Linked DNA regions of Cricetulus griseus. The protein of the gene in region 1 interacts with the protein of each later gene in a biochemical or structural test. Links are inferred from orthologs where the notes say so. Each region holds a gene or a part of one and is shown in the gene's direction. Other genes may lie near its edges. The genes, in order: Akt1, Smarcc1, Mxd1, Skp2, Foxo1, Nf2 and Mapkap1.

Region 1 (3,941 bases):
CCAGTCCAGGGTACAAGCAAACCTCTCCAGCTTTGGGGTCCCACCCTGCAGCCGATGCCCAGACCTCTTAGCGCAGGGCTCAGGCACTTGAGTCCCTACCCAACTGCCAGCTGCAGGAGGTGACAGGGAAGACCACCTCTGTGCCTGGGGAGGGGGTCAGGGCCACTGTTTTTGTTGGAGACATCTGGCTGCAGAGCATATCACTGGCAAGTCGCGGTAAGGCTCGCTTCTGGTCTGTGGCTCTGCCTAGGAGGCCCAAGAGGGGTGTGGCTAAAGTGTGGGCCCAGAAGAGGGCCTTGCGCCCTCCGTCCGCAGGAAGACCCTGGGCACGGGGAAGATAGAGACACAAAGAAGGTAGGGACGGGTACTGCCTAGAAACGGCTCATCACAGGTGGGAGTGCTGCAACAGTGGCTTCCAGAAAGAGCACCCAGAAGATGTCAGTCCTTGGAGAACAGTCTCCAATTGCCATGTGTTCCACAAGAGGGCGCCCTGCTGGCTCGCAGTGGCCACTCCCCACTGCCCAGCACGGGGATTGGGGAAGCAGGGGAAGAGGACCAGGGGGCCTGGGGTGAAAGTTTGCTGGGTGAGTGATGGATTTGCTCAGTCTCCGAGGGAAACCCTCAGGTCAGGGATACAGCTGGAGCAGCACAGACCCGCCGGGCTTAGCGCCCTGGAGGTGCTCAGAGCTGGGGCAGCTGTGCTGCAGACAAGCAGAACAGACCCCCTACCCCCCACCGCTCCCGCCCCAGGAGTTGTGCCCCCCGCCGAGAGGACAGTTTTCCCGGCGAGGGGTTCGCTTCATAAGTCAGTCCCCGAGGCAGAGAAGGAGCGACTCCATTCTGGACTAGCGCTAGCATGGAGTAAATCTATCCTGTTTACACTCCAGGTGAACTCTGACCCTTGGATTAAAAACAAAACAAAACAAAACAACAACAACAAAATGCCCCCTCGGAAAAAATACCAAAGACCTGGAGGTAAACTCACAAAAGGGTTATTATCAGTTCGGGCCTCAGGGACGAGGGAGGGGCTCTGCTGGGGCAGGAACTGCTGGGGCAGGCTGAAGGGGGAGAGCAGAGGGTGGGTTAGAGGCCACCTTGACTCTCCAATTCCGGGACACCATAAGGAACCGCCCCCCCCCGTCCTCCCGCCCCCCTCCCGCGCCTCGCCCATCTGAGTGCACAGCGAGGTCTTGGCTGACTTGAGCTCTACCCCGGGGTCTGCCCCCAACAGCACACTGGCCCCCCTGGATGTCCAGGTGTGTCCCCGTCTCCCTGTCACCGCAGGGTGCCCGTCAGTTTCCTTGGCCGACAGTCCCGGGTTGAATGAGCCCCCAGCAGCCTTCCTTTCTGGGTGGCGTGTGTGGCCTTTAGGACACCGGTGGCCCGGCTCGCCCGGCTCCCAACAAGGGGACAGTTGGGCCTCTTGGGAAAGTCAGAGCGATCCGCTCGCTCCGCACGCCCGCCCCGTGGGGTCTGGAGAGCCGGACCGACAAGTGCCCGGTCGTCCAGCGACGGGGAAACCTGGGCCAGGGCCCGGGCTCTGGATCTGCGGCGGCGGGGCTCCGTTACCCGCGTGGCCCTGGCTCGGGGCCACCCGAGGGCGGCGCCTGCGGGGCCGCGCTCGCGCTCACGGGGCGCCTCGCCCTGGCCGCGGCCGCGCCGGGGGCGCCCGGGGCGGCGGAGGCGGATGTGGGCGGGGCGGCGCGGCGCGGGGCGGGGAGAAGGCGGGCCGGCGGCGGCGGCGGCGGCGGGCGGCAGCACCGAAGCGGCGGCGGGCGGCGGGCGGCGGCCCAGCGCGGCAGCGCACGCGAGTCCCGACAGGCGGAGCGGACCGAGCAGCGCCCGGCGGCCGGCACCGCGGCGGCCTAGACCCGGCCAGCAGCGCGCGCGCCGGCCGCCGCTGCCTCCAGCCGGCCCCGCCCAGCGCCCGCCCGCGGGATGCGGAGCGGCGGGCGCCCGAGGCCGCGGCCGGCTAGGCCCCGTCGCCCGCACGCGCGCGGCCGGGTGAGTGCCCGCGCCGCGCCCTGTTCCGGGCCGCGGCCACCCCGCTTTGTTCCCGGCCGCGCCCGCCTGTTGGCCGAGCGAGGCCTGAGCGCGCGGCGGGCCGGGCGGATCGCGCAGGAGGCCCACGCCGGAGAGAGTGCGGGGCGGCCGCCGCGTGACCTTGGGTGGCCGCCCCGCGGGGCCAGGCCGCGCGCGGGAGAGGGGCGCTGCTGGCGTGCGCGCAGTGGGGGCCGGTGCGCCCCGGGGCCTGGGGCTGTCTGGGCACTCGGCCAGCGAGGGTAGGAGAAAGGCTCGCCCCGCGGCCTGCGTGTGGTGGGAGGGCCCTGGGAAGGAGAACTCATTTCCCACGGACAGAAAGTTGTGCGCGGTGGCACTGTGCCCAGGCTAGCCCACAAAGGACTGCTAGCCCTCCTGGGCCCGGAAACTGCTTCCTGGAGTAGGTGGTTTCTGGAGGTGCTGGGGCCTGGAGGACGCGTGGGCTCGACCTTTGGGATCCCGGATACTGGCCGAGCTGATGGATTTGTCTAGAGGACTGGTTTCTAAGTTAGGTGGTGGCCGAACCTTGCTCTGCCCTGTGGCCAAACTCCTTCACCCCCCGCCCCCCATCCCCAGGCCTCTGGTCTTGCCCCAGGTGGCTAGCCTTGACTGCTTAGAGCCATCACTCAAGTGAAGGGCGAGTCGCCTTGGGGCCCCAGCTGGGCGTGTGGGCCCAGTGTCCCAGAGGGGCTGAACTCTTCAGACTTAACAATAGCAACCATATGCTCTTATGGCAAGGCGCTCCAGGGTCGTGGAGGGAAGAAGGTCCCATGCGCAGGGCTGATTGATGTGGACACTGGTTAACATCGCTGTGCATATGAACTTATTTTTACATGGCTCTGGACAGCTGACTGTCACCAGCAGACCTCGGGTCTGGGTGGGGGTGGGGGTACATCCAGAGAGAGGTCTTCCAGTCCAACCCTCTACCTCCAGGCCACACCCACTTGGATAGCCATCATCTGGGGTTCCTTCTTGGCTTATCTTTTTCATCCTGGCTTTCCATTGCCACCTGCTTGCTAAGGGTAGGATGTTTTCCTTCTTAAGCCAAGTGTGGTCTTTCCTCCTCTGGCATTTGGCATTTGGCACACAGCAGGGCCTTCCTTTTGTTCCACATTTAGCTCCAGACAAGGCAAAGTGACAGTGACTCTGGGTGCTAGCTTGTGCCTTCTGGTCTAGAGAGGTGACCTAGGGGGTTGTCTGGGTCAGCTGTAGTAGACAGACCCAAGTTGGGATCTATTCCACAGTGGTCTTCTGGTCTTTCCTGGGCCTGTCCACAGGAACCCCAGGTGGAGGGACAGCATAGGCTTGCTGGGAAAAAAAAAAGTGTCCAAATGCACTTTCCCAGACTTGGTGACATGAGAACAGGGCCTTGAGGGATGCCCAGGAGTCCCTCCAGCAGAGAAGCAGTGCCAGGGGGAACTGGCAAAGTGTGCTTTGACTCTGACTCTCTGGTGGGTCACTGCAGGACCCTAGGTTTTTGTATGTTGCCTGCCTCTTGTGTGGGCTGAATGCTGTAACTGTGGGCTGCCTAGAAGTCTCTTTGTCCCTGATATAGAGTGAAGGTTTGGCAAACCCATAGACGCCTGGTACATGCTAGCCCAATGAATGAAACACCTTCAGGGGAGCAGGGTGCTGTGTTTGAGAGGGTCTGGGGTTTCACCTGGGGAGGTTTTTAATGTTTCCCCTTCAGACTCTGGGCTTTGCTTTATATCCATTACCTACTCCACCTGTGCCTCTGAATGCCTACACTCCTGTGTTCCTAGTCCGAGCAGGCAGGAGCCCTGCATTCTGCATTAGGCATCCTTGGCTGTAGGGGTGGTGAGAACGCAGGGACAAGGACAGTGAACGAGCACCCCTCACTAGTGTGGGGCCCAGCAGAAGCCAGCAGTGCTGCCTGGAGG
Region 2 (3,500 bases), on another chromosome or scaffold:
TATAACTAATACTTAACATGATTTCTCTCTGGAAAGCCTTCTTTGGGACTCAGATGTCATCACACATAACACACACACAAACACACACATCTATAGCAGAAATCTGGATATACAGTTGATTCAAATAGAGTTTGCTAAGCCTGATCATTTTTTCTTGGGCTCTACAGTACTTCCAACCTAAAGAATGTTTTTAAATTATTGAATTTATTTATATATAGTTACTTAATAAGATCTGATAATCCCTGAGAGATATTTTAGTTCATCACAGTTTCTGAGGGCTAGAAGAAGACAAACTGGTGTTTAGGAATTTCAATAACTATTATAAATTCCAACTCTTGACTGACTACATTGTGTGACCATACTTAGTATTCTGATCTTTGTTAGCCACTTTCCTTAGAAATCTTTTCATTTTGTGCCTTTATTGTTGTAATAGTATAAAGAGGAAGTAATACAATATATAATTTTTATTGTCCTCATAGTTGGTCTTTTATTTATTTATTTTTGGAGATTGGACATTGAGTTCTACCCCACGATTTCAGTCAATATTGACTCTCTCAATTGTTGGTGTTACAGACTTGAGCCACTATTCCCAGCGGAAGTTTTTCAGCTAATTAGGGAATAGAAACTACAGTATATACTTTGGGTAGAAAACACAAAAGTTTTTAACTGTGTTGTTTCCTCTTAAATGTAAAGGAAATTATTCAGTCAAACTATTTTTAGTAAGAAGTACTCAGGTTTTGGATTTATTTATTTGTTTGGTTGGTTGGTTTTTCAAGACAGGGTTTCTCTATGTAGCTTTGGAGCTTATCCTGGTACTCAATCTGGAGACCAGGCTGGCCTCGAACTCACAGAGATCCGCCTGCCTTTGCCTCTCCGGTGCTGGGATTAAAGGCATGCGCCACCAATGCCTGGCTATAGTTTTTGGATTTATTAATTTTCCTTTGAAACTTGGATAATGCAGAACTCATTTTAAGATTTATTTCTTTTTCAAAAAACAATGTAAACCTACGTACCTCTTTTCTTTCAGTATTCATGTGATTGAACGGCGTGCTCTTCCTGAGTTTTTTAATGGAAAAAACAAATCCAAGACTCCAGAAATGTGAGCCCAGTGTTTATCGAACTTTTTATGTTCCTAGCATGGATTTGTTGTATATGAGTGTTTTGCCTGCATGCGTATTCATGTGTACCATGTATGTGCAGTGAATGTGATGTCCAGATGAGTGCATTGGGTCTCCTGAAGGTGGAGTTAAAGGTTATGAGGCAAATCTTGGTCCTGGGCAAAATCAGAAGCAAGTGCTTTTAACCACTCGGCCTTCTCCCTGCCTCTCTTGATTCAAAAAACACAATCTCACATGGTTGTTTTTTACTTTTTTATTTTTAATAAGCAAATAGTGTGCACCACTCAGAAATTATGTGTATCTTACTTCTGCATCATTTTAACTTTAAAGGAATGTGTAGTTTTTCCTAAACCTCAGGTGATATGTGTATCAGTTCTAGCACTTAAATATTGAATCTAGTAAATGAATTTTAGTTGAAGTTTGTAATAGTCACTTTTAATGTTTCTATAGCTATATAATGGTCTGGTAGGGAATGAAATCTTTATCCCCATGGTAAATTATTACTAATTACATTCTCATTCAATTGCATTTGAATTGAGTTAAATTTTCTAAAGCATTTGCTTTTGCAATAGAATTAGGAAAAACTGGAAGGAAGTTGCTTATCAGAACAAATATTTGTCTTGTTCGTGTGACCCAATGTTATATATTTCTGGAAGTTATGTTTTTTTGTTGTTTGTTTAGCTTTTATTCTACTTTTTTCTGTTTGTTTGTGATAGGCTTTACTGTGAAGACCAGGCTAGCCTAGAACTACAGTTACACGCCTGCCTTTGTTTCCTGATTGGGATCAAAGGTGTGCTTGGCCAACTTCTTGAATGTTTTATCTCTGAAATTAATTCACAGCTCTCCTTTCTTGGAACATGACTCTATTTCCATTGCATGTGTGTACTTGCAAAGTTAGAGTGTCCTGTGATCACCCTGTTTTAGGAAGACATGATTTAAATTCTTTTCCATATAAAACACATGGGCCCACATGCACTTAACAATAAACATATTATGGTTTTATTTTTCCATGTTAATTTGAATACAGTGCTTTGATGTCAGAAATAAGGGCTGTATTCGAGTTACCAAATTCCAGATTGGGATTTAAAGCCCAGATTGTTTTCCACCCTTAAGTGTTTGGGGAGTCATACTTTAAAATTAGACTTTTCTATTTTAGCCTTTTTGTCTTGTAAATTCAGTCATTTTTGTATGCCCATGGTTGGTCTGTATGTAGCCTTTTTGAAATTTTTGACTTTTTGCTCCTACATAGCTGCTCACATGTGTTGTGAGACTTTCATTTTTGACATGCAAAATTTTTTTGTTAATGTATGCAAAAACTTGTGATAGCTTACACCTTTAATCCCAGCAGAGCAGTTAGATCTTTGAGTTCAAGGCCAGCCTGGTTTATAGAATGAGTTCTAGGGTAGCCAGGATGACACAGAGAAGCCCTGTCTTGGGGGGCAGGGCAAGGGAACCTGTTGGTAGATGTCACAATCCTTAACGTTCCTGATTTTTTTTTTTTTTAAGTAATTCATTTAATGTTATTTTATGTGCATCAGATCCCCAGGAACTGAAGTAACAGGCAGATGTGAGCCACCATGTGGTTGCTGGGAATTGAACTTGGGTCCTCTGGAAGAGCAGACAGTGTTCTTAACCACCTAGTCATATCTCCAGCCCCAACATTTTTGAGTTTTAAAAAGCAATTGTGGCAGAAATGCTACAGTATTCTGTGGAGTCTTATGTGACTTTTAGTCTCAATTTTTCTTGCTTTTGTATGCTTTGGTCTTGCCCTGATTTGTTTTCTCTTTGGTTGTTTGTCTAGCTAAGTCTCCCTGAATGGAATGCCCTGAGAAAGTATATTGATGTGTCATAACCATGTCCTTGGGTGGAAAGCAAGAGTGGTCACCCATTATGAACATAGATCTGAGATGTGGTCTTCTCACTTTCCAGCCCTCAGTCTAGGACAGGTCTTCAAGTGCTCTGTGCTTCAGTTTGTGTGTAAATGGGATGATGAACCTGATTTTACTAGGGTTCTGGGTATTAGGTGAGCGAGCTACTTCACAGTGTGCTTAGCAACCAAAGGTAGTGTTCAAATTACCTCATGTGTTGTTACAATGTGGTAAACATTTGTTTTTCATTTTATTGGTTATGAACTCATTTGAATTACTAATATTTTAGTACAATATCAGTGTTGTTGCTGCTTAATATTGCTGTCATTTTATGTCTTTGGGAATATTTTTAGATACTTGGCATATCGAAATTTTATGATTGACACATACCGTCTAAACCCCCAAGAATATTTGACCAGTACTGCTTGTCGGAGAAACCTGACTGGAGACGTGTGTGCTGTGATGAGGTAAATGTTTGCCTTAGATCCTGTGCCGATTGATTTACTTTTCAAGG
Region 3 (3,500 bases), on another chromosome or scaffold:
ACTCGGCCCCTGCCTGGTGAGGCCCCTGAGCTTGCTGGTGGTTGGTTGGGAGGAACACTGCAGCACCCTGCTTGTCCATATTTGCTCAAGGCAGTTACCCTTGTGTAGAAGAGCTAGGCTTGGAAGAGTAACGCCAGCTGAGGCAGTATACAACATATCAGGCCCTATCCTCTCTAGAGAGCCTCTGTGGCCCTCTAGGGTAGGACTCTGTCACACATTCTGCAGCTGAGGAGCTAGAGGCCTCGGAGTTAGGTGGCCTGTTCAAAGTCACATGGGGAGTAAGTGGCAAAGCAACCTCTGCTCTGCACCACTACAGTAATGTTAGCTTGTGTAGCCGTTGACTGATGTAGAATGGTGAAAGTACTAAATATAGGGCCTGGGGTACTTGCCAACCGAGAGGGTTGTGGTTGACCTGTGTGGTGGACTGCTAGTTACAGCCACTCCTGACTGTAAGCACCGCCATTGCAGTGCAGTGCATTGCAGGTGAAAGCATGGCTTCTCATGCTTCTGTAGACCAAGCCTTTTGTCTACCCATGCCGATTATAGCACTCCTCCTAAAGAGCCAGAAGGAGGCTGTCCAAGGTCATTACTTAGGGTCAAGGCAGTGTGGCTCTGCTAACAACAGGCTTGGGGTGGGGATGGGGGTGGGGGTGGGGGCTGGAGAAGCAGTGTTTGGCACCACCTTCCCCTGCCAGGACAGGAACTAAGACCACTCTTGGTAATAGAAGACCATCTAATGGGGCAGTAAGATGACCCAGGGGGACAGTGACAGATATGTACACTGCCAGTCTGTGTCTGTGTGTAACCACATCACAGGAGGACAGTGTGACAGGCTTGTCCCCTACAGGCTTTGCAGGCTGGTAAGCAACTGTATATAATTAGTCTGAAGGCTTTAGAGGGAGAGGCAAATTAGTGCAAGCAAGACATGTCACTCTATTGTTACTAGTGCAAGCAAGTCACTAGTGTCTTGTTTTTCATAGTTTCTTTTTAGAGTTTTTAAAATTATGTTCCAGTCTGGGTGGTGGTGGTACACACCTTTAATTCCAGCACTCGGGAGGCAGAGGCAGGTGAATCTCTGAGTTCAGTGCCAGCCTGGTCTACAGAGTGAGTTCGTGTGCCTGTGTGTGTGGATATATGCCTGTGAGTGCAGGTGCCTATGGAAACTGGAGGCATCAGATCTTCCACTGGTTATGAGTTGCCCAGCGTGGGTGCTGAGAACCAAACCCATGTCCTCTGGAAGAGCAGCAGTGCCCTTAATCATTAAACTATCTCCAGCCCTCATGGTGTTTCTTTAGTATTAATTTTCTAGTGTGTGAATAAATGTTTCACCATGGTATTTTCATACATGTGCCAATGCCAATCTTACCTCTGCTCACACAGTACTTCTGATGGCACAATCTGTGTCAGAGTATATCCACCACCAGGATGGTACACACAGCTTCTGTGCCCCCACAGCTAGCATCCAGGCCTTTCCATCAGTCAGCTACATGTGCTCCTTGAGGCCCTCAGCACACCATGATCCAGCTGGGGCAAGGGACTCCGAATGAGGTCCAAGCCTCATTTCCCAGTGCTGCCCCAGGAGGCACTGCCCTGTTCCCCAGCAGCTGGAAACACTCTGTCTAGCTGGCTGTGTGTGGGAATGGGCATTACCCAGGCCCAAGCTCTGTGTAGATGTGATGAGTTGGACTCTGTCTTCAAGAAGCTTAAAGTCCACTGAAACAGCTGACGCAGTCATCGGTGTGCATAGTGTCAGTGAGTAAGCCTCAGCTAGGCTTCCCAAGGAGTCTGAGTGAAAGGTTGAGAGACAGACACCAAACCACATGGAGAAGCCCAGAACTGAGGATTCCCTGTGAGCTAGGATGGCTCAGGAAGGCACAAACACCTGAAAGTTGGCCATTTCTCATATTCATGGAATCTGTTCCATTTTAGAGTGAAGTCCAAACCAAGGTTTCAGTGGACTGTAAACATCCAAAGTTGTGGGCCCTGCTATGCTTCTGGTCATTCTGTGACACAGGATCTGTGTGTGGTTGTGGTTCTTCCACGTTAGCCTTTGTCCAGTACACTTGAGATGGAGGGATAGTGTGTCTCACATCTGTCAGCATTTCCTGTGATACACTTGTCCCATATGTGGAAAAAATTCTATGTGCAAACAGTGATTACTTAGGAGGAAAAACACAAGCTGAGGATTTTCCCCTGGGCATGTCGTCTTCTGATTCAGGAGAAGCTGATGAAAGTGCCTGATACAAGCAGCTTTTGTGCTCCACTCCCCAGAATTGCATCTGGAATCTGCCTAGAAGCACTGCTTTCCAAGGCTTCCCACTGGGTTTCAGTGCAGGTGCCTGACCTCACACAGTATTGCTGGCACCAGCCTTTGCTGGGTCTGGCAGTCATACACTTCAGAACCTATGTAGAAGTCTCAAGTGCTGCTATGGTTCTGTTTTCACAGGCGTGCTCATCTCCGCCTGTGTCTAGAGAAGTTGAAGGGGTTGGTGCCGCTGGGCCCTGAGTCAAGCCGACACACCACACTGAGTTTGCTGAAAAAAGCCAAATTGCTCATAAAGGTAGGTGACTTGCCCTGCTGGGAGGAACAAACAAGGGTGTATTTCTAGTATGGTCTCTGGGCTCCTCCCACCTCACCTGTCTCCCCATCATCTAAAACCCAGTTAGAAGGTCCAGTCAGAAATTCATGGGCTGGAGAGATGGCTCAGGGGTTAAGAGCACTGACTGCTCTTCCAGAGGTCCTGAGTTCAATTCCCAGCAACCACATGGTGGCTCACAACCATCTGTAATGTGATCTGGTGCCCTCTTCTGGCATGCACTGTATACATGATAAATAAATAAATCTTTTAAAAAAAAAAAGAATTAAAAGAAATAGATTAAAAAAAAAAGAAAAGAAATTCAGGCCCTGGCGCCTCAAGCCACTGGTATCCCCACCATGACCGAGACCACAGTGTTTGACAGCCTGACCTGTGCCCATTTGCACCTACCACTATCAACTGAAAGAGACCCCACAGTCTCCTACATGCTCTGTACCCCCCCACACACACACCTGCTGCACCCTAAGAAGCAAACCTGCTGTAGTTCATCTGCACTCATTATTCTAAATGCCTCAGGGACTCTGGTTGAGCTGTCACCAGGTCTCTCCTGCCTCTGCAGCAGCCCACTGCAGTCCTGTCTGTTCCTTGTCTTGTCATGTTCTGGGACCAGGGCCATCGTACTTGCCCTTCCCTTTGCTGACCCTTTCTTGTCACAGGGCCCCTGACTCACTGACTGGCATGGTGCACATTTGTCAGTGTCCTGTGTGGTGGCTGGATGTCTCCAGAATTATCCTGTAGCTCCACGAGGGAACCTAGGAACCTCATGACAAGTCTGTCTGTGCTGACTCTCTGTGCACTACTGAGCCACAGCCAGTATCACCATTTAGCCATAGCTTGCTTAGACAAATACCAGTTTATTAACCGTTAGCAGCCTGCATACAAGACAGCTCTGAGAGAGAGCTT
Region 4 (4,027 bases), on another chromosome or scaffold:
CACGCCTGAGCAAGAGGGATTTAATTCCGTTATAAAACCAGTCTTGGCCCCTCCCCTCATAGAAACTCAGGGGCATGTCATCTAACATATGAACCAATATTCTTAACTTTATGATGGAGCTAGCCTGCTTTTGTCCATCAACTTTATAAACCCTCTTCATTTTTACTGGACTTGAAATGCATCCCCTACCCTCTCCCCTGTGGCCCTGGAGTCACGTTTTTAGCACAGTTTGCACACTAGCATTTCGCATGGTCATTCCAATCTAATCGCCCCCGCCCCCCGACCTCTTCAGAGAGCCTAAATTAGCTTAGCTTTTAGGCAGAGAACCAAAGGGAAGTTGTGGGTTGAGTCAAAGGCACCATAACAGCTTTTCAGGGTGGTCTCTCACTGCAAGCATAGGGTCGTCATCTGATTCCCTTGGCTGCATTTGAGAGACCCGTCAAGGATACACGCGGGAACCACCGCTGGCTCCTGCTGCCCTCAAGTTAACCACTGCTTCTCTGGGAACTGCGCTGGAGCTTCATAGGGCTTCCACACGCACGTTATCTGATGTGATCCTCAGGCCAAGCCCGTGGGGTGTGCGTCGTCCCCGAGCCTATTTTACAGCTGAGGTAAGGATGGTGTCCACAGACCCAGTCCTAAGGGCCGCCCACTGCCAGGTGGAGGAAGTAGCCGTCTGGCAGGAGGGCAGGTGTGCCTCCCACAGCCTCTCACCTGGCGGGCGACCGAGACCAGGGAGATGGGCCTGGCGGCGGAGGCCGCTCAACATGTCGAACCCCCCAATCTATCTCCGCCAGCCTGGGCCGGGACCCCAGTCCCCGACCCGCCTCACCACCATCTCCCCCGCCCCCAGGCTCACCTTCGGATCGCGGCAGACAGCGTCTGGAAGGGACTGAGAAGCTTCGCGTCCGCCGCAGCCTGCCGGGGTCAGAGACCCACAGTCCAAGGCGACCGCGGCGGTGGTCACCCAAAGGCCTGTGGGCTCCGGGGGAAGAAAAACCCGTACCCGGTCAGTCCGCTGACATTTCCCCGTCAGTCTGAGCTCCACCCACTTCCGCTTGCCTGTCCTCTCCCCAGCCCCAGTGCCACCCTGCGCCGCGGGGGGTTGTGGGTATCTGGAGGGTTTGGCAAAAAAAAAAAAAAAAAAAAAGTAAGAGCGGAGGAAGGAGGAGTGAACCTAGTCGGACTGCGAGCCAGGCCCCAGAACTACAATTCCCAGCAGGCGACGGGGCATCAGAAGGCGGCTGCTGGAGAGCGGGATGCAGAACTCCGCGCGCGCGGTGGTGATGGAACGTTGCTAATTCGCGGGTCCGGCTGCTGGGGCCCCGGGGCATTACTCTGCGGCGCGCGCTGGAACGGGAATCTGGGAGGCAGGCAGGTCTTCACTTAATACACGCATCCAAAACCCCTCAATCCGTGAACGCAATGCACAGGTAAACCGATTGCAAAAACGGGCAAAGCATGAATGAACCGTTTGAATTCTTTTAGGCCGCGAATGTTGCTTCTTGCTCATCTTATTATGTGAATGGTTGCTTAGCCCCCTTTTTGAAGATAGTGGATGGATGCATGCTTTCGTGAGAATATCTATGTGCCGTTTAATTTGGCTTCCTAATTTGGTTTTCCTCCCACTATTTTGAATCATGGTATGAATGCCTTCCCTCTTTTTCCCTCCACGGGAAGAAATTATTGAGGCCTTCTGCGGGACCATAAATACCAAAGCCTTTCGAAGTGGAGTGTGTGTTTCCGATTTTCTTTCATTCTTGTGAGCTCGCTGTAGGCACGTTAAAAATGCAGTACTGTTACTCACTGTAACTTTTCTACACTGCATACTTGACGCTTCTTTCATTCCTACCTTGGAATTATTTAGGGGTATGCTTTCAAAAGGAATGGGGAATGTGTGCCCTTCTGCAGGAAGCACCTTCAGGAGATTCCGGACCAGAGTAGCAACGTCACCACTAGCTTCACATGGGGATGGGATTCCAGCAAGACCTCTGAACTGCTCTCAGGCATGGGTGTCTCTGCCTTGGAGAAGGAGGAGGTGGACAGTGAGAACATTCCCCATGAACTGCTCTCGAACCTCGGCCACCCCCAGAGCCCTCCAAGGAAAAGGCTAAAGAGCAAAGGCAGTGAGAAAGACTTTGTGATCATCCGTAGGCCTAAGCTCAATCGAGAGAACTTTCCAGGTAAAGTATGATACTAAAATTCAAATTATATAAGAAATGGATTGCACTGCTTTGTTTGAATTAAATTGATTGAACGATTTCCTTGGGGGATCTTTAGGATGGGTACCTAAAATTGCCTAGTTTTGAAGTGTTGCCGTGAAATGGAAACCAGTCGTTGAAGTCTCCTGGAATCTTGGTAGGTATTTATCTTCTGGTTCACAATTGACTTGAAACTTTTAACCCACAAGACAGCATTCCTCCCCTTTTCCTTACAAGGGAATCTCCCTGCTCAAAGTTCAGCTCAGCACACTGATGAATGGGAATACAAGCAGGATCTTAGAGGATTCCTTTAGTCTCTAATGCACTGCTTTGTACCAGAGTGAACTTTATAACTTAATCACTTAGGTTATTTGGAGGCACACTAGGAAGGTAAATGTTAATCTAGGGGGAGGAGATTTACCTCCCTGCTCCACTTCCAACAGGCTCTTGGGGTGTTGTGTTTCCAGTTCTGTGGCATTATAGTTACAATCATAGAGCCCTAAAACTTACTTAGTCTGATCCCCTATTGTCCCCCAATTGACATCTAGTCATTGTACCTTTCCTTCCTTTGTGACAAGTGATCCAAGCTTTCACAATCTCTTCCTGAATTATTGTAATGGGTTTATAATTTCAGCTTTTTTTTTTCTCAGTTCTGTCACCCAGAGGTGAAATGGATTGATTAAAATAGAATTTACCTTAAATTATCCCCTTACTAGTGACTCCCATTCCCTTATTTCCCAAATATTTTTAAGCAAATGCCTCCCAAGTAGATCAAGACTCAAGCACCCAGGGCCATAGGGTAAATATAGTGTATTGACTTGAGGCGTTGACAAGGTTCTTTTGTTTGTTTCTTGTCTTTTAAAAGAGTGATTCATAGCCGGGCAGTGGTGGGCATACCTTTAATCCCAGCACTCAGGAGTCAGAGGCAGGTGGATCTCTGAGTTCAAGACCAACCTGGTCTACAAGAGCTAGTTCCAGGACAGCCTCCAAAGCCACAGAGAAACCTTGTCTCAAAAAAAAAAGAGAGTGATTCATCAAATATTTGCTGAAAACACACTATGGTTTCCACAGTATAGTGCTACGAATATAGCAGTGAACAAATCATACACATTTCTAAACCTTAGAACTTCCTTTCCAGTGAGGAAATAGTATAAACACATTAGACATGCTATTCTATGTAATGGGTTAGGCCATGGTAGCCAAAAACAGAAACAGATCAAGCTGGGGGAGAATGGAAGCCCTGCAGTCAGAAGATAGATTGTAAACTGGGTATTAACTAAAACCCTTAATTGGATAGTGACCTTTAAGCAAACAAAGGCAAAGTGGAGAGAGAGCAGGAGTATGTCATGAAAATGTCTCTTGGTGTAAAGAACCTTAAGCAAAAGGAGCAGCCACTGTAAAATTTCCCAGAGAAAAGACTAGGCCATATAGTAAAAGTAGAGTAGGGAGAAATATGGACAGCCCCCTTCTTTTAAGATCTTACCTCATTGAACCCCCCCTTCTTTTTTTGTATTTTCATGTTGTTTTGAGACTGGGTTTCTCTGTGTAGACCTGGCTGTCCTAGCACTCTAGACCATGCTGGCCTCTAATTGATCTACTTGCCTCAGTGCTGAGAATAGCAATGTGGGCCACCACCCAGATGCTCATTGAACCCTTTAAAGGAATACATTGGTAAACTGAGACTAAACTGTAGCAGGTAGAGTATAGACAACAGAGCTTAGAGACATGTTAAGATGTGGGGAATAATAAGCAGTGGCCAGATTCTGAATAGAGTCCAAATTTAGAGACAATAGAAATTAGAAGGGTATTGAGATTGTTAGTGGAGG
Region 5 (3,997 bases), on another chromosome or scaffold:
TGCCATCCATATTTCTTTTTAAAAGAGAAAGCAAGTCAGAAAACCAAGCGAGGAAACATTTTCTTCTGCTCCGTAATACAAGAATCATTATCTTTCTACCTTCGACCTTGCTGAGCCTGTATTAGATAGCCAGATCTGGGAGCTCGCACTGGGAAAAGTGAGGTGTAGGTGGGAGCAGGCTGAAGGCACAGATGCAGGAAGCTTAAAGGACCCGTTGGGTGATTGAAGAAGGGGGTCTGTGCCTCAACACTTGGGTCTGATCATTTTGGATTTTACTCAAAACCTCATGGCTTCCATTTTAAATAAAAAGAAATAAGCAACTAGTTAAACTTAATTAGGGGTGATAAAGTGACAAGGTTGTCTCTAAACGCTCTCCTAACCCTTTGGCCACTACTATGGTTTTCAGGGGACAGTGAGATTCCCGTGGCAGGAAAGCGGTTCCCACAGAAGACTTCAGATCAGAGGCGCTACAGGATCTATGTGCTTGTGAAACACTAGTGTCTTCTCCCCAAGCCGCACCTCTTCTGGGTTCAGGATGACTGGAGGCTGGGGGATGGACAGAAACGCAGAGTCTCAGCTTGCAGGTGTGCAAGGGTAGGGTGGGAAGAGGGACCAGGAGCCACAGAGCCTTCGGTCTTCACAGTAGGATCTTTACGCCCGAGGCAGCCCGGACAGATGCCAGCTTACGAAAACATTCCTCCAAAACAAACCCCACCGACTTCCCCAGAGCTCCCCGAAGACGCGTGGGCGGAGCGGGCTTAGTGGAATCCACGAGGCGCCCCGCCGCCCACGTCGCGTCCGGGAGCGCGCAGTGGCCCCGCGCCACCCCTCGAGTCGTCGGGGTTTGGGCTCCGAGGAGTACTCGTTTGCACTCTGTAGTAAACAAAAGTATGGTCGCCGCCTCCACGCTGGTTTGCTTCCTAGCAATCCGGACTCTGAGAAGCGAGAGACTCAGAAACACTTGAGAATTACAGAAAATAATAACGGAGATTGAAAAAAAAAAAAAAAGTGTGTGAGAAAGAAAAACACCCCGCTAGCCCCCTCCCAACAACCTACTGCCGCCTCCCGAGGGAGAGCAGCTCCCGCCCAGGCTCGCGCTCATTGGCTAGCGAGGCGGAGACGTGGCGTGTCCATTGGTCGCGCTGGCTGTCAGTCAGGGGCGGGTCGGCGCGCGCGCCGCCGCGGGCGGGGAGCCTCTGCAGATCCCGTAAGTCGGGAGGCTGCGGAGTCGCTGCAGTCCCTGCCGCCGCCACATTCAACAGGCAGCAGCGCCGCTGTCGCGCGGCCGCGGGAGAGCGAGCGAGCGGCCCGCGCCGTCCCCCCCGTCTGCTCTTGCGTCCGCGGCCCTGTCAGCAGGAGCGTGGCGCTCGAGCTGCCGGGCTCCGCGGCCTGGTCCGTGTCCCGTCCAAGCCACGAACTCGGAGGATCCTGGACCCTGGTGGCCCGCGAAGTTAAGTTCTGGGCGCGTCCGTCCGCTGCGCCGCGCCTCGCTCCGGCGTGCGTCCGCTCACCGCGGCCCCCAGTCTCGGAGCAAGTCTCTGCTCGCCCGCTCCGCGACCCCGGTGGCCGCGACTCCCAGTACTCTATACTGGTGGGGGAGGGGCGGGGGTCACCATGGCCGAAGCGCCCCAGGTGGTGGAGACCGACCCGGACTTCGAGCCGCTGCCTCGGCAGCGCTCTTGCACCTGGCCGCTGCCCAGGCCAGAGTTTAACCAGTCCAACTCGACCACCTCGAGCCCGGCGCCGTCGGGCGGCGCGGCCACCAACCCCGACGCCACCGCGAACCTGGCCTCGGCGTCCGCTGTCAGCACCGACTTTATGAGCAACCTGAGCCTGCTGGAGGAGAGTGAGGACTTCGCGCGGGCACCCGGTTGCGTGGCTGTGGCGGCCGCCGCTGCGGCCAGCAGGGGCCTGTGCGGGGACTTCCAGGGCCCCGAGGCGGGCTGTGTGCACCCGGCACCGCCGCAGCAACCCCCGCCGACCGGGCCGCTGTCGCAGCCCCCGCCCGTGCCCCCCGCCGCGGCGGGACCGCTCGCGGGACAGCCGCGCAAGAGCAGTTCGTCGCGCCGCAACGCATGGGGCAACCTGTCGTATGCCGACCTCATCACCAAGGCCATCGAGAGCTCGGCTGAGAAGAGGCTCACCCTGTCGCAGATCTACGAGTGGATGGTGAAGAGCGTGCCCTACTTCAAGGATAAGGGCGACAGCAACAGCTCGGCCGGCTGGAAGGTGAATGGCCTCGGGGGACGTGGTGGGGGCGGGCTGGAGGGTCGAAAGTGTGGGTTTGCGGGTCCCGGAAATGGCAGAGCGTGCGGAGTGAGCGGGGCGAGCGGGTGAGACTTGGCAGGTGTGGCGGAGGCTTCTCTGAGACCTGGAGCTTTGGACCAGGTGCACGCGAGGGAGTTCTAATTGGGACCCGGAAAGGGTTTGTTTGGGCACTAAGTGCAACGCCAGAGCAGGCGTGAAAGTTAGCCAGTTGTCGGAGCGAGGGGATCACTTTGGAGGGCTCTCTACTTGACACCCCGGACCTGTGAGGCTTTGGGCGGCTGCTCTCCGCCTACTCGCGCACCGACTCTCCCAGCCTTTGGTGGCCAAGGTTTCCCAGGACCCGCCAACTGAGGCCTGAGGTGGAGCCCTGGCGACATCCCCCTAAACGCACACGCACCCTTGGGGCTCCGGCTGCGGGTGGGATGGCTAAAGACGCACAGCAGCTGGCTGAGCTAGGTGCGGGCCCGCAGCTGCTGAAGGTTCCCGAGGCCGGAGCAGGTGGTCGAGCGCGCCCACTCACTGTGTAGGGTGTCCGAAGCGTGCGAGTGGGCGGCCACGGCTTTTAGGCGCTGGGCAACCTAAAGTTCAAGTGTGACCCTTGGCCGGGGCGGGAGCCGGCGGGGAGGGAGGGACCGCGTGTACAGGAAGCTGGGGCCTTTAAAGGGCCAGTGCCTCCAGCCTGGGAGGCCACACTTTAATACCCAGGGAAGTGCTTCCACGGTTGGTCTTGCTTGGGGAGGGGTGCTTTTAATTGGAAGCCCAGAAGGTGCTACGCGTGACCAGATTATGCACAGGTGTTTGCGAGTGCTTTCTTTAAGCAGAAAGCATGGAGTTACTCACGAGGGGCAAGGCTGGAAGCCTTAGTCGGAGTATTTGGTGCCAGTCTTAAGTGGGGTACTTGCTTAGGGAATTGCCAGAGACCTTCTCCTTTGAAGGAGGATTGCAGATTTGTAGATGTAGGTGCTCATGGACTTTGTTTACCTTTCTGAAGATGGCTGGGAGAGCGAGGTGACTCCAGAGTTGGACTGCGCGACATCCCTACCCTGTGTGTGTGTGGGGGGGTAGTAAGAACCTGGGGTCTTTTGGAGGAGAGAATTGGAATATTACACAGGGGTCACTCCCTGGTGGTCACCCCGGCTGACAGTTTCTTAGCATCACAGGTGAACACAGATCTTAAGATTTTCCAGTTTAACGCAACTTTTTTTTTTTTTTTTTTTTTTTTTTTTTAGCTTTTCTCCCTCCTGGTCTTGTCTGTACAGTGTAGCAGTGATGAGTCTTTGCTTTGTGATTGTTAGAGCGAGGTGGTTTCACATATTCCATCTTCCCTGTGGTTAAAGTAGCTAAAAGGTCAGGTTACTCACATCATAGGAAAGTTCTTGGAGAAAGAGCCGGGCTTGTTTTGTTTTTGCCAGTGTGTTTTAAAGATATATACTATACCTGACATGCAATATTATCAAATGTTCCAAAAAGTAAAATACCCATTTCTCATATTCTAATTCACAAAAATAGAGGTTGTCTTTACTTAACTGACTTTGAGTACTTGCCTGCTTTACTCATCTATGGAATCTCAGCAGTTACATAAAGCTTCTGTCATTAAAAATAAAACAACAAGAAACCCTAAAACCCTTTAGGCACCCAAGTACAGTGTGTACTTACATCGTTCTTTAATGTTCTTGGAGAGGGATAGATACAACCTACTTCAGTTTGTTTAAGTGCCTTACTTTAAAGA
Region 6 (3,500 bases), on another chromosome or scaffold:
GCCTATCATTCGACTTCAAGGATACTGACATGAAGAGACTTTCCATGGAGATAGAGAAAGAAAAGTATGTACCCTCTGTGGCCTACTTGCTTGAGGCAGTTGTGAACATGAGAGAGTAGATTTGGTCTGGGAACACAAAGGTCACCACAGCAGTTAGTCAGTCATTATCCCTGCAAAGGTTTGCTCTGTTGTCACCCACTAGGAGAACAAATTTCCTAATTAGAAATTAAAGATGACCGATCAGGACAGTAGTCAGTGTCCCCAGAAGAAAAATAACATTTGATTGGTGGCCTGGAATTTATAGTGGTTCAAACCTTGACTGACAAAAAGACTGGATCATGGTAAGTCCCCGAGTCAGACTGTTGTTCACATAGTGCTTAACTAGTTTTCTTCTGGTCATGTTCTTCAGCAGTGGTTCCTATGTCTAAAACAAAGGTGAAGGAAAAGAAAACAAAAAACAAAACAGGGTTTCTAGGCTGAGCAAAGCGTGGGTCCTGCTGGCAACCAGCCAAACCACAGCTGCTTCTGTCAAGTGCCCTCCACCTCCACTTTGTGGTCAGCGGAAGTGAAGCAGAGATGGAGAGGAATCCCGTGGTAGATGAAATCTAAGTAAGATCCCCCTCAGTCCTTGAGTAAGTTGGTTAATAGTGCCACAGCTGGCAGAGAACAATCACGGAGGCCCTATGTGTTGAGCACCTGTAAGTCTGGGCATTTTAGGGTTTGTCTTATTTAACTCATACTAGTCAACAAATATCCCACTGGCATCAAAGGCAGGTTTTAGGGACTGGTGATATAGCTTAGTTGGTAGAGGGCTTGCCCAACATGTGCAAAACCCTGAGTTTAATCTCCAGCACAGTATAAGTCAGGCATGGTGCCTACACCAGTAATCTTAGTTCTCAGGAAATAGAGATATGAGGATCAGAACTGCATTATTATCTTTGGCTACTTAACAAATTCAAGTCTAGCCTGAGCTACATGAGGCCCTATTTCCAAAAAAACAGTTTTAGTGTTCTAATTATATAAAAGAGAATAGACTTAATGAGTCACCCAGCATCACATAGTTGATGAGGAGCAGGACAAGGATTGAAACCCCTTACTCACTGTGGTACTCTCAGAATAGGGCTCTGCAGTCCAGCATGAACCATCATAAACCAGGCTATCCTCCTTTGATCCCTCTACTGAGAACAGCTAAGGAGCTGTGATCCAGAGCCGCTGCTGTCAGCATCAGACTGAGTCCCTTTCTTATTGTCCAGATGTACATGTTTATGTGGTTGTGATCAGCATAAGGCCACATCCTGTCCTGTGCCTTGGTTTTTTTATAGTTTGTATTTTCTCACTGACTTAGTGTGTTTGGCTGTTATAACAAAATGCCAGAAGCTGGAAAGCCTATAAACAACAGAAATTTACTTCTCGTAGTTCTGAAGGCTTAGAAATCCAAGGTCAAGGTATTGTCAACTCAGAGTTCAATGAGAGTACTCTTCCTGTTCATAGATGGCCCTTGCTGTGTACTCGTATGTGTCAGGATCTCTTTAGGGTGTTTTTTGTTTTTTTTAAGGACACAAATCCCATCATGAGGCTGAACTAGTTACTTCCCAGGGCATCACCTCCTAATACATGAGTGAGTTGGCCACAGTCTATGAATGGGACAGCACTACATTCAGCCCATAGCACTTATTTCCTACACAGGCTGGCAGAGCCCACTGACTGGCTGCTGTAATCTGTTCAGAATGTTTCCTTATATTTGTGTTATATGGTTTTCTGTTCATGCTCTTATGGTTAAACACTTTAACCTCTTCAGGTGAAAGTGGAGACCTGTTTTTTCTCAGTGTTGGCTGAGTGAGTGTCTGCCATCTTTTCCTAAAGGTCTCAGGATAAGTGGGAGAGTAGATCTCTTGGTTGACTGCTTCAGGAGGGGCAGAAACAGAAGAGTGTTTTGGGATTCAGGAGGTTTGTTTGATGTGATTCTTCATACAGAACTGAAAGCTGTCTGTGGCAGGGTTATTTGGAGAACACTCTGAAAGTTTATACAGGGCTTTCTTCCTACACTTCATTTCTTCCTGACCAGAGGCTCTGTAATTATTATCCCAATTGCACTGATGTGGAAAAGAGATTATTGCAGTTAAGTGGGTAGCCCAAGCTCCCTTGGCTTCTGCGTGGCCAGGTTCAGGTGTGAACCCCAGGCTGCTCCTGGCTATCATACCGAACAGCTTGTAAGTTATGATGCATCCCTTCCATGCCTCAGTGTCTGCCCAGTTCTGATGCATGGTTTCCTCTTGCCACAGAGTGGAGTACATGGAGAAGAGCAAGCATCTGCAAGAGCAGCTCAATGAACTCAAGACGGAAATCGAGGCCTTGAAACTCAAAGAGAGGGAGACAGCCTTGGATATCCTACACAACGAGAACTCAGACAGGGGCGGCACCAGTAGCAAGCACAATACCATTAAAAAGGTACCCTAGTCCCTGGGTTTTGATGAACAGGATACTTATTAATGAAATATGAGGTTGGCATCTAGTTTCCTCAAGAGCCCAGTCATTAGACTCTTGTTTTTTTTCTTTTCTTTCTTTCTTTCTTTCTCTCTCTCTCTCTCTCTCTCTCTCTCTCTCTCTCTCTCTCTCTCTCTCTCTCTCTCTTTTTTAACATGTACTTAGTTGAGGGGATTTTTCAACTCCTGACAGAAAGAATTTAATCTGCCAATGACCATGAACCCATTGGCTTGATGGAAGTGGAGCTTGTGTTAAAAGCTCTGATGAGATGAGTCCCTGTTTGAGGATGGGTTTTGATCTATCACTGAGCACTAAAGTGATTCTGTCTTTAAAGCCAGTGGAACTTATGCCCAAGGAACTGCCTTAATTAATGAGAGAGCAGAATGAATTAAAGGCTGTTGAATGGAGTCCCCTCTCGTCTTTGTGTAAGACCATGTTATGAATGTCCAACATTTTCATACTTAAAAGGCAGAATATAGGAGAGCTGTAATGTTTAAGAAGATGAGACTTTATTTAGGAGGCTCAGAGTCTCATCTGCCTCTCCTGATATTTAGAGTGCTCATCACTTTAGAAGTTACTCAGTCCTCGTTATCAGGCTGAGAATGTACATATCTCTTATTTGGGCAAAGCAGGAAGTTTTTTCTGGAAAGTTAATGCTTTTAGCTGATTGTCCCTGTAAAACAGGGGTTATAAAGTGATTGGTGTGGTGACATACTCTTGTAACGCTAGCATTTAGGAGTGAATGGCAGGTGGATTGCAAGTTCAAGGCCATTCTGGGCTACAGAATAAGACCCTTTTCTCCTTTGAGTTTGAATGATAACTAATGTAGTTAAGTTTTACTCTTTATTTCAGTCAGCAGTCTCCAGTTTAAGGACTGTCTCTGTTTTCAGTGATTAAGTTGTCACTGGAAATCCAGAGAAACTCATATCTCCCTACATTTCACTGGTGTGTGGGTGTATACACACATACATACATACACATACACACATACACACACACACACACACACACACGGA
Region 7 (4,176 bases), on another chromosome or scaffold:
TTTTTTTGAGGTAGGGTCTCTCTTGGAGTCTTGGGTGTCACTCAATTAGGCAAGACTGACTGGCTACCCTGCATCTGAGGTCTGCCCACCTTTGTCTCCCTGGGGTTGTTCTTGTGCACCACCACATACAGATGTTTCTTTGAATTCTGCAGATCAAATGATTCGCTAGCTATCTTGTTAGCCCTCTGCTACTGATTTTTTTTCCAGAAAGTTAATCTTCTTACATCTCACCCAGACTTTCTGCCAGTCCTGAATATGGTTGTTATCCTCACTATTTTGTGTGTGTGTTATGAGAGTCTTAACATTTGTTATGATGTGCTGGCCACTTTGCTGGTATTTATTATTCACCAACCTATTTTATTTTCATAGCAATACTCAGAAGATGAAACTATCATTATAGGTGGAAAAATCTAGAGGTGTAGTGTCCAAAGATTCACAGAAATATAGAATTGGCGGTTGACTCTGTAAAAAAACGATTTAAAAACAAAGATTTTAAAACTAAATTTGTTTGGAATTTCATCCATGCATACAACGTATCTTGATCATATTCATGCCCTCCCCCAATTCATCTCATATTCACCTCTACCCTCTCCCAAACTCTTGAATAGTGTCCCCCCTAAATATTTTTAATTCCAATTTGTGTTGCCTATATATATACTTCTGAGTGTGAGGCCATCTACTGGAGATGGTTGACCTACCAGGGGCAATACCCTTATGCTAAACCGACAGTCCCTCCCACCAGTAGGAACCAACTGCCACGTTGATTGGCTTGGTCTTCTGTGGGTCTTGCACAGGTAACTTGCACTGCTGTGAATTCATGTATGCAGAGAGCCTGTCAGGTCCAGAAGATGCTGATTGTTCCAGACCTCGGGCTCTTGTGGTCTGTTTTTTTTTGATTTCATGATGGTCCCTGAACCTTCCAGAATGGAGGTGTGATGTGCCCCACTTCGACTGAGCACCGTATAGACGTTTCACCTCTGCACTTTGGCCAGTTGTGAGTTTCTGTATTAACCACCGTCCACTGCAGTAAGAAACTTCTCTGATGAGGTCTGAGAGCTGCGCTAATTTGGGTGTTCAGATAGGAATTAAAAAACAGTTTGACACCATGTCCATCTAACAAATAATAACGGCAGTGAACTCTTCTTTCTGACATGAAGGTTAAACCGAGGACTGTTCCCAGTGGAGGTTAAGGTGATGACTGCTGCCTGTAAAACCAAGAATGCTTCCAGATCGGCCTGAGCGCAGCGCGCGTGCGCCAGCCTTCCGCCAGGCCCCGCCCCCCCGGAGGCTTTGGCTCTTGGCTCTGGGACTTGCGCACTGCGTCCCCAGCCAGAGGCCCTTTCCCGACCGGGGACTTCCGGTACGCCGGGTGCGGTTCCGGGTCGTGGCGCGGCTCCGGGTAACAGGGCTGGTGTTGCCGGCCGGCGGCGGCGGCGGGGAACGGCGGGGTCATGAGGGCGAGTTTGGGGAGCGGCAGTCGAGCCGGCCGGTAGAAGCGCTGGTCCCCGAGGACTTCGTGGGCGCAGGGTTCGGTGCAGGGGCCGGGGGGCGTGGGAAAGCCGGGCCTCCCTCAGGGGAGTGTGGAAGCGGCTTCAGGTAAAGGTTGCCCTAGCCGCCGCCCGCCGCCCCTCGCCCGCGGGACCCTGTGGTCCCTCAGCACCCCGCTGCCCGCGCTGCCCCGCGACCGCCCGCCCGGGCCGTGCTCGGTGGCCTGGGAGCGTGCGAACCTGACAGCTGGGTGTGTGACTTAGGTGAGGAGAGGCTGTGGACCTGGGGGTGTGGGGGCGGGAGCGGGAGCGTACGTGGCTCCAGCGGTTTCAGGTCCCGAACTCGACAAGGTCCGGTGCCCCAGCTCCACTCTGTGAAATCAGTTTTCAGAGTATTGCCCGGACAGTCCAGAAACAGTCCTTCAGATTGTTTTCCTATCTGGCGTGCTGCTGGGAACTTGGATTCCGGGTTTTTCTGTTTATGGGAGTGGCGAGGAGCGGTAAAGCTGGGGGGTGGGGGTGGGGAGAAGAAAAGAATAGAGTTTAAAGAAGTGTATAACACGAATCAGAAACTATAAGACCAACCAGGGACCTCGAAATTTGTTACACTTCCTTTGGATGATTGCCAATATTTGAAACTGTCACTGTCCCCAACTCCGTGCAAAGCATCATGTTTGTTATAGCTCCCCCCGCCCCCCCCCCAACAACCAAGTTCAAAACCTTCTCAGGCATGAACAGTGAGGTGAACAGACACTTCAGTTAAAAGGTCCGCATTCACCTGACCAACAGACGGGGTGGCCCCCTCTTGTGAGCACCCTCCAGAGCAGAAATAAAGTGCATTATTCCCGTGGTTTTAGGCCACCCAAGCTGCAGTGAAAGTACTCGCTCAGTGATAATTGTCCCCATCTTCTTCAGCTTAGACCCCCTCAAACTTAACTGGAGTCTCAGGTGGGGGGCATACCAGGTGTCCCTGTCCTATTCAGCTGGGTGCTCACATCTACTAATGTGTATAGTGCCTGCATAGCCTCTATGTGCCTGTGGCTCCTGGCTAGCTTTTTACAGTTAAGCTTATAAAAGTTTCCATTATAGACCTTCCCTCTGGATAAGTAAGATCTCAAATCAGTTTTGATTTGTTCTCAAATACTTAAAAAAAGAATGACTCCACTCCACCTAGAAGCTTTCTGGTTTTTGGCTTCTAACACATTCATAATGCTTCCCATGGTTCACCTGAAGGTGGTCTCACTTAACCTATTAGGGGCAATCTAGCTTCTAATGATTTCTTTCTTTCCTTTTTTCTTAAGAATTATTATTATTATTGGTTTTTCGAGACAGGGTTTCTCTGTGGCTTTGGAGGCTGTCCTGGAACTAGCTCTTGTAGACCAGGCTGGTCTCGAACTCACAGAGATCCTCTGCCTTTGTGCTGGGATTAAACACATGCGCCACCAATGCCTGGCAAGAATTATTTTTTTAATATGTGTGCCCATGCAGGATTTGTGTATGTGTGAGAGCATTGCCCTCAGTGGTCAGAGCAACAGAAGAGGGTGTCAGATGTCCTAGAGCTGGAGCCACTGTTACTTATGGGCTGCATGTTGCTGGTTACCCAACTTGGGTCCTCCACAAGAGCAGTCCTGACTCCTAACTGCTGAACTGTTGTTGTTTCTCCAGCCCTGGAAATGGTTTCTTACCTAGAATCCCATAAACACTTGTTATTTACAGTCATTTGATGTAGCAAGCATTTATTGTGCGTGGATTTAGGTCAGGCACTGTAGTGTAGTTTAATAGGACTTAGTCACGGTGTTCAGGGAGTTGTTACTGTGCGAGGAATCAGTCACTCCATTGAAGTGACAGGGGCCATGTAAGAGGGTTTCTCTGAGATGGAAATGAAGTAGGACACAGTGCTAGCTTTTGGGAAGTGACATTTGATCACGTGAGTGAGCATAATGTGAGGCAAACTGAACTTTACTTTTCCTCACATAATTTATTAAACTAAAATTTATGGGCGGGAAGTACAGGATAGTTGCACAGCTGGTATGAGACAGAGCCAGGTCTTGCCTTTTTTCTCACCATGGCACTCTTTGCAAGTATATATTGCAAGTATATGAATGAGAAAATAAGAACGCTGAAATGGACAATACAGAAACTCCTCTATACAAGGCCTGGCATTGTGGTGCAGGCCAACTGCTTGGCAGCTGGTACTTTGAGGCAGCAGAGAACTTGCACAGATGCTTTGAGGCCAGCCTGAGCATCAGTGAAACCCCATTTTAAAAAAAGACATGTTGTACTGGATAGATATTTCAGTGGCTAAGAGCATGGGAAGCTCTTCCAGAGTACCTGGGTTCAGTTCCCAGCACCTGTATAGTGGCTCACAATTATCTGTAACTCTAGTTCCAGAGGATCTGATGCCATGTTTTGACCTCTGTGGGCACCAGGTAGGCATGTGGTGTACAACATATATGCACACAAACACTCATGTACATAGGTTAAAAAATAAATGTAAAAAATGCCTTTATAGTTACATTGGCTGCTCTTCCAGAAGTCCTGCGTTTAATTCCCAGCAACCACATAGTGGCTCACAACCATCCATAATGGGATCTGACGCCCTCTTCTGGTGTGCAGGCATACATGCAGGCAGCGCGCACACACACGTTTGCCAGCAGGCTTCGGTAGCACATGCCTTTAATTCTAGCAC

What was found.
Region 2: of the proteins of Akt1 (region 1) and Smarcc1, one has a biochemical effect on the other in vitro, tested with the Homo sapiens proteins (2 studies listed by BioGRID, with this or other methods). The link is inferred for Cricetulus griseus from reciprocal best matches to the Homo sapiens genes AKT1 and SMARCC1.
Region 3: of the proteins of Akt1 (region 1) and Mxd1, one has a biochemical effect on the other in vitro, tested with the Homo sapiens proteins (2 studies listed by BioGRID, with this or other methods). The link is inferred for Cricetulus griseus from reciprocal best matches to the Homo sapiens genes AKT1 and MXD1.
Region 4: of the proteins of Akt1 (region 1) and Skp2, one has a biochemical effect on the other in vitro, tested with the Homo sapiens proteins (4 studies listed by BioGRID, with this or other methods). The link is inferred for Cricetulus griseus from reciprocal best matches to the Homo sapiens genes AKT1 and SKP2.
Region 5: of the proteins of Akt1 (region 1) and Foxo1, one has a biochemical effect on the other in vitro, tested with the Homo sapiens proteins (4 studies listed by BioGRID). The link is inferred for Cricetulus griseus from reciprocal best matches to the Homo sapiens genes AKT1 and FOXO1.
Region 6: the proteins of Akt1 (region 1) and Nf2 form a complex in vitro, tested with the Homo sapiens proteins (2 studies listed by BioGRID, with this or other methods). The link is inferred for Cricetulus griseus from reciprocal best matches to the Homo sapiens genes AKT1 and NF2.
Region 7: of the proteins of Akt1 (region 1) and Mapkap1, one has a biochemical effect on the other in vitro, tested with the Homo sapiens proteins (3 studies listed by BioGRID, with this or other methods). The link is inferred for Cricetulus griseus from reciprocal best matches to the Homo sapiens genes AKT1 and MAPKAP1.

The regions. Positions count from the first base shown.
Region 1 is NC_048598.1:181,381,157-181,385,097, forward strand, and holds the start of Akt1 (RAC-alpha serine/threonine-protein kinase), read left to right. Parts: upstream 1-1,141; 5' UTR 1,142-1,256; intron 1,257-3,941. UniProt on the Homo sapiens protein: AKT1 is one of 3 closely related serine/threonine-protein kinases (AKT1, AKT2 and AKT3) called the AKT kinase, and which regulate many processes including metabolism, proliferation, cell survival, growth and angiogenesis.
Region 2 is NC_048597.1:217,639,747-217,643,246, forward strand, and holds part of Smarcc1 (SWI/SNF complex subunit SMARCC1), read left to right. Parts: intron 1-1,027; coding exon 1,028-1,099; intron 1,100-3,339; coding exon 3,340-3,453; intron 3,454-3,500. UniProt on the Homo sapiens protein: Involved in transcriptional activation and repression of select genes by chromatin remodeling (alteration of DNA-nucleosome topology).
Region 3 is NC_048601.1:58,400,184-58,403,683, reverse strand, and holds part of Mxd1 (max dimerization protein 1), read left to right. Parts: intron 1-2,446; coding exon 2,447-2,561; intron 2,562-3,500. UniProt on the Homo sapiens protein: Component of a transcriptional repressor complex together with MAX. In complex with MAX binds to the core DNA sequence 5'-CAC[GA]TG-3'. Antagonizes MYC transcriptional activity by competing with MYC for MAX binding.
Region 4 is NC_048595.1:342,748,792-342,752,818, reverse strand, and holds the start of Skp2 (S-phase kinase-associated protein 2), read left to right. Parts: upstream 1-1,227; 5' UTR 1,228-1,425; coding exon 1,426-1,433; intron 1,434-1,911; coding exon 1,912-2,183; intron 2,184-4,027. UniProt on the Homo sapiens protein: Substrate recognition component of a SCF (SKP1-CUL1-F-box protein) E3 ubiquitin-protein ligase complex which mediates the ubiquitination and subsequent proteasomal degradation of target proteins involved in cell cycle progression, signal transduction and transcription.
Region 5 is NW_023276806.1:99,188,626-99,192,622, reverse strand, and holds the start of Foxo1 (forkhead box protein O1), read left to right. Parts: upstream 1-1,197; 5' UTR 1,198-1,614; coding exon 1,615-2,229; intron 2,230-3,997. UniProt on the Homo sapiens protein: Transcription factor that is the main target of insulin signaling and regulates metabolic homeostasis in response to oxidative stress.
Region 6 is NW_023276807.1:100,122,234-100,125,733, forward strand, and holds part of Nf2 (merlin), read left to right. Parts: coding exon 1-64; intron 65-2,282; coding exon 2,283-2,448; intron 2,449-3,066; coding exon 3,067-3,071; intron 3,072-3,500. UniProt on the Homo sapiens protein: Probable regulator of the Hippo/SWH (Sav/Wts/Hpo) signaling pathway, a signaling pathway that plays a pivotal role in tumor suppression by restricting proliferation and promoting apoptosis.
Region 7 is NC_048599.1:146,129,448-146,133,623, forward strand, and holds the start of Mapkap1 (target of rapamycin complex 2 subunit MAPKAP1), read left to right. Parts: upstream 1-1,376; 5' UTR 1,377-1,751; intron 1,752-4,176. UniProt on the Homo sapiens protein: Component of the mechanistic target of rapamycin complex 2 (mTORC2), which transduces signals from growth factors to pathways involved in proliferation, cytoskeletal organization, lipogenesis and anabolic output.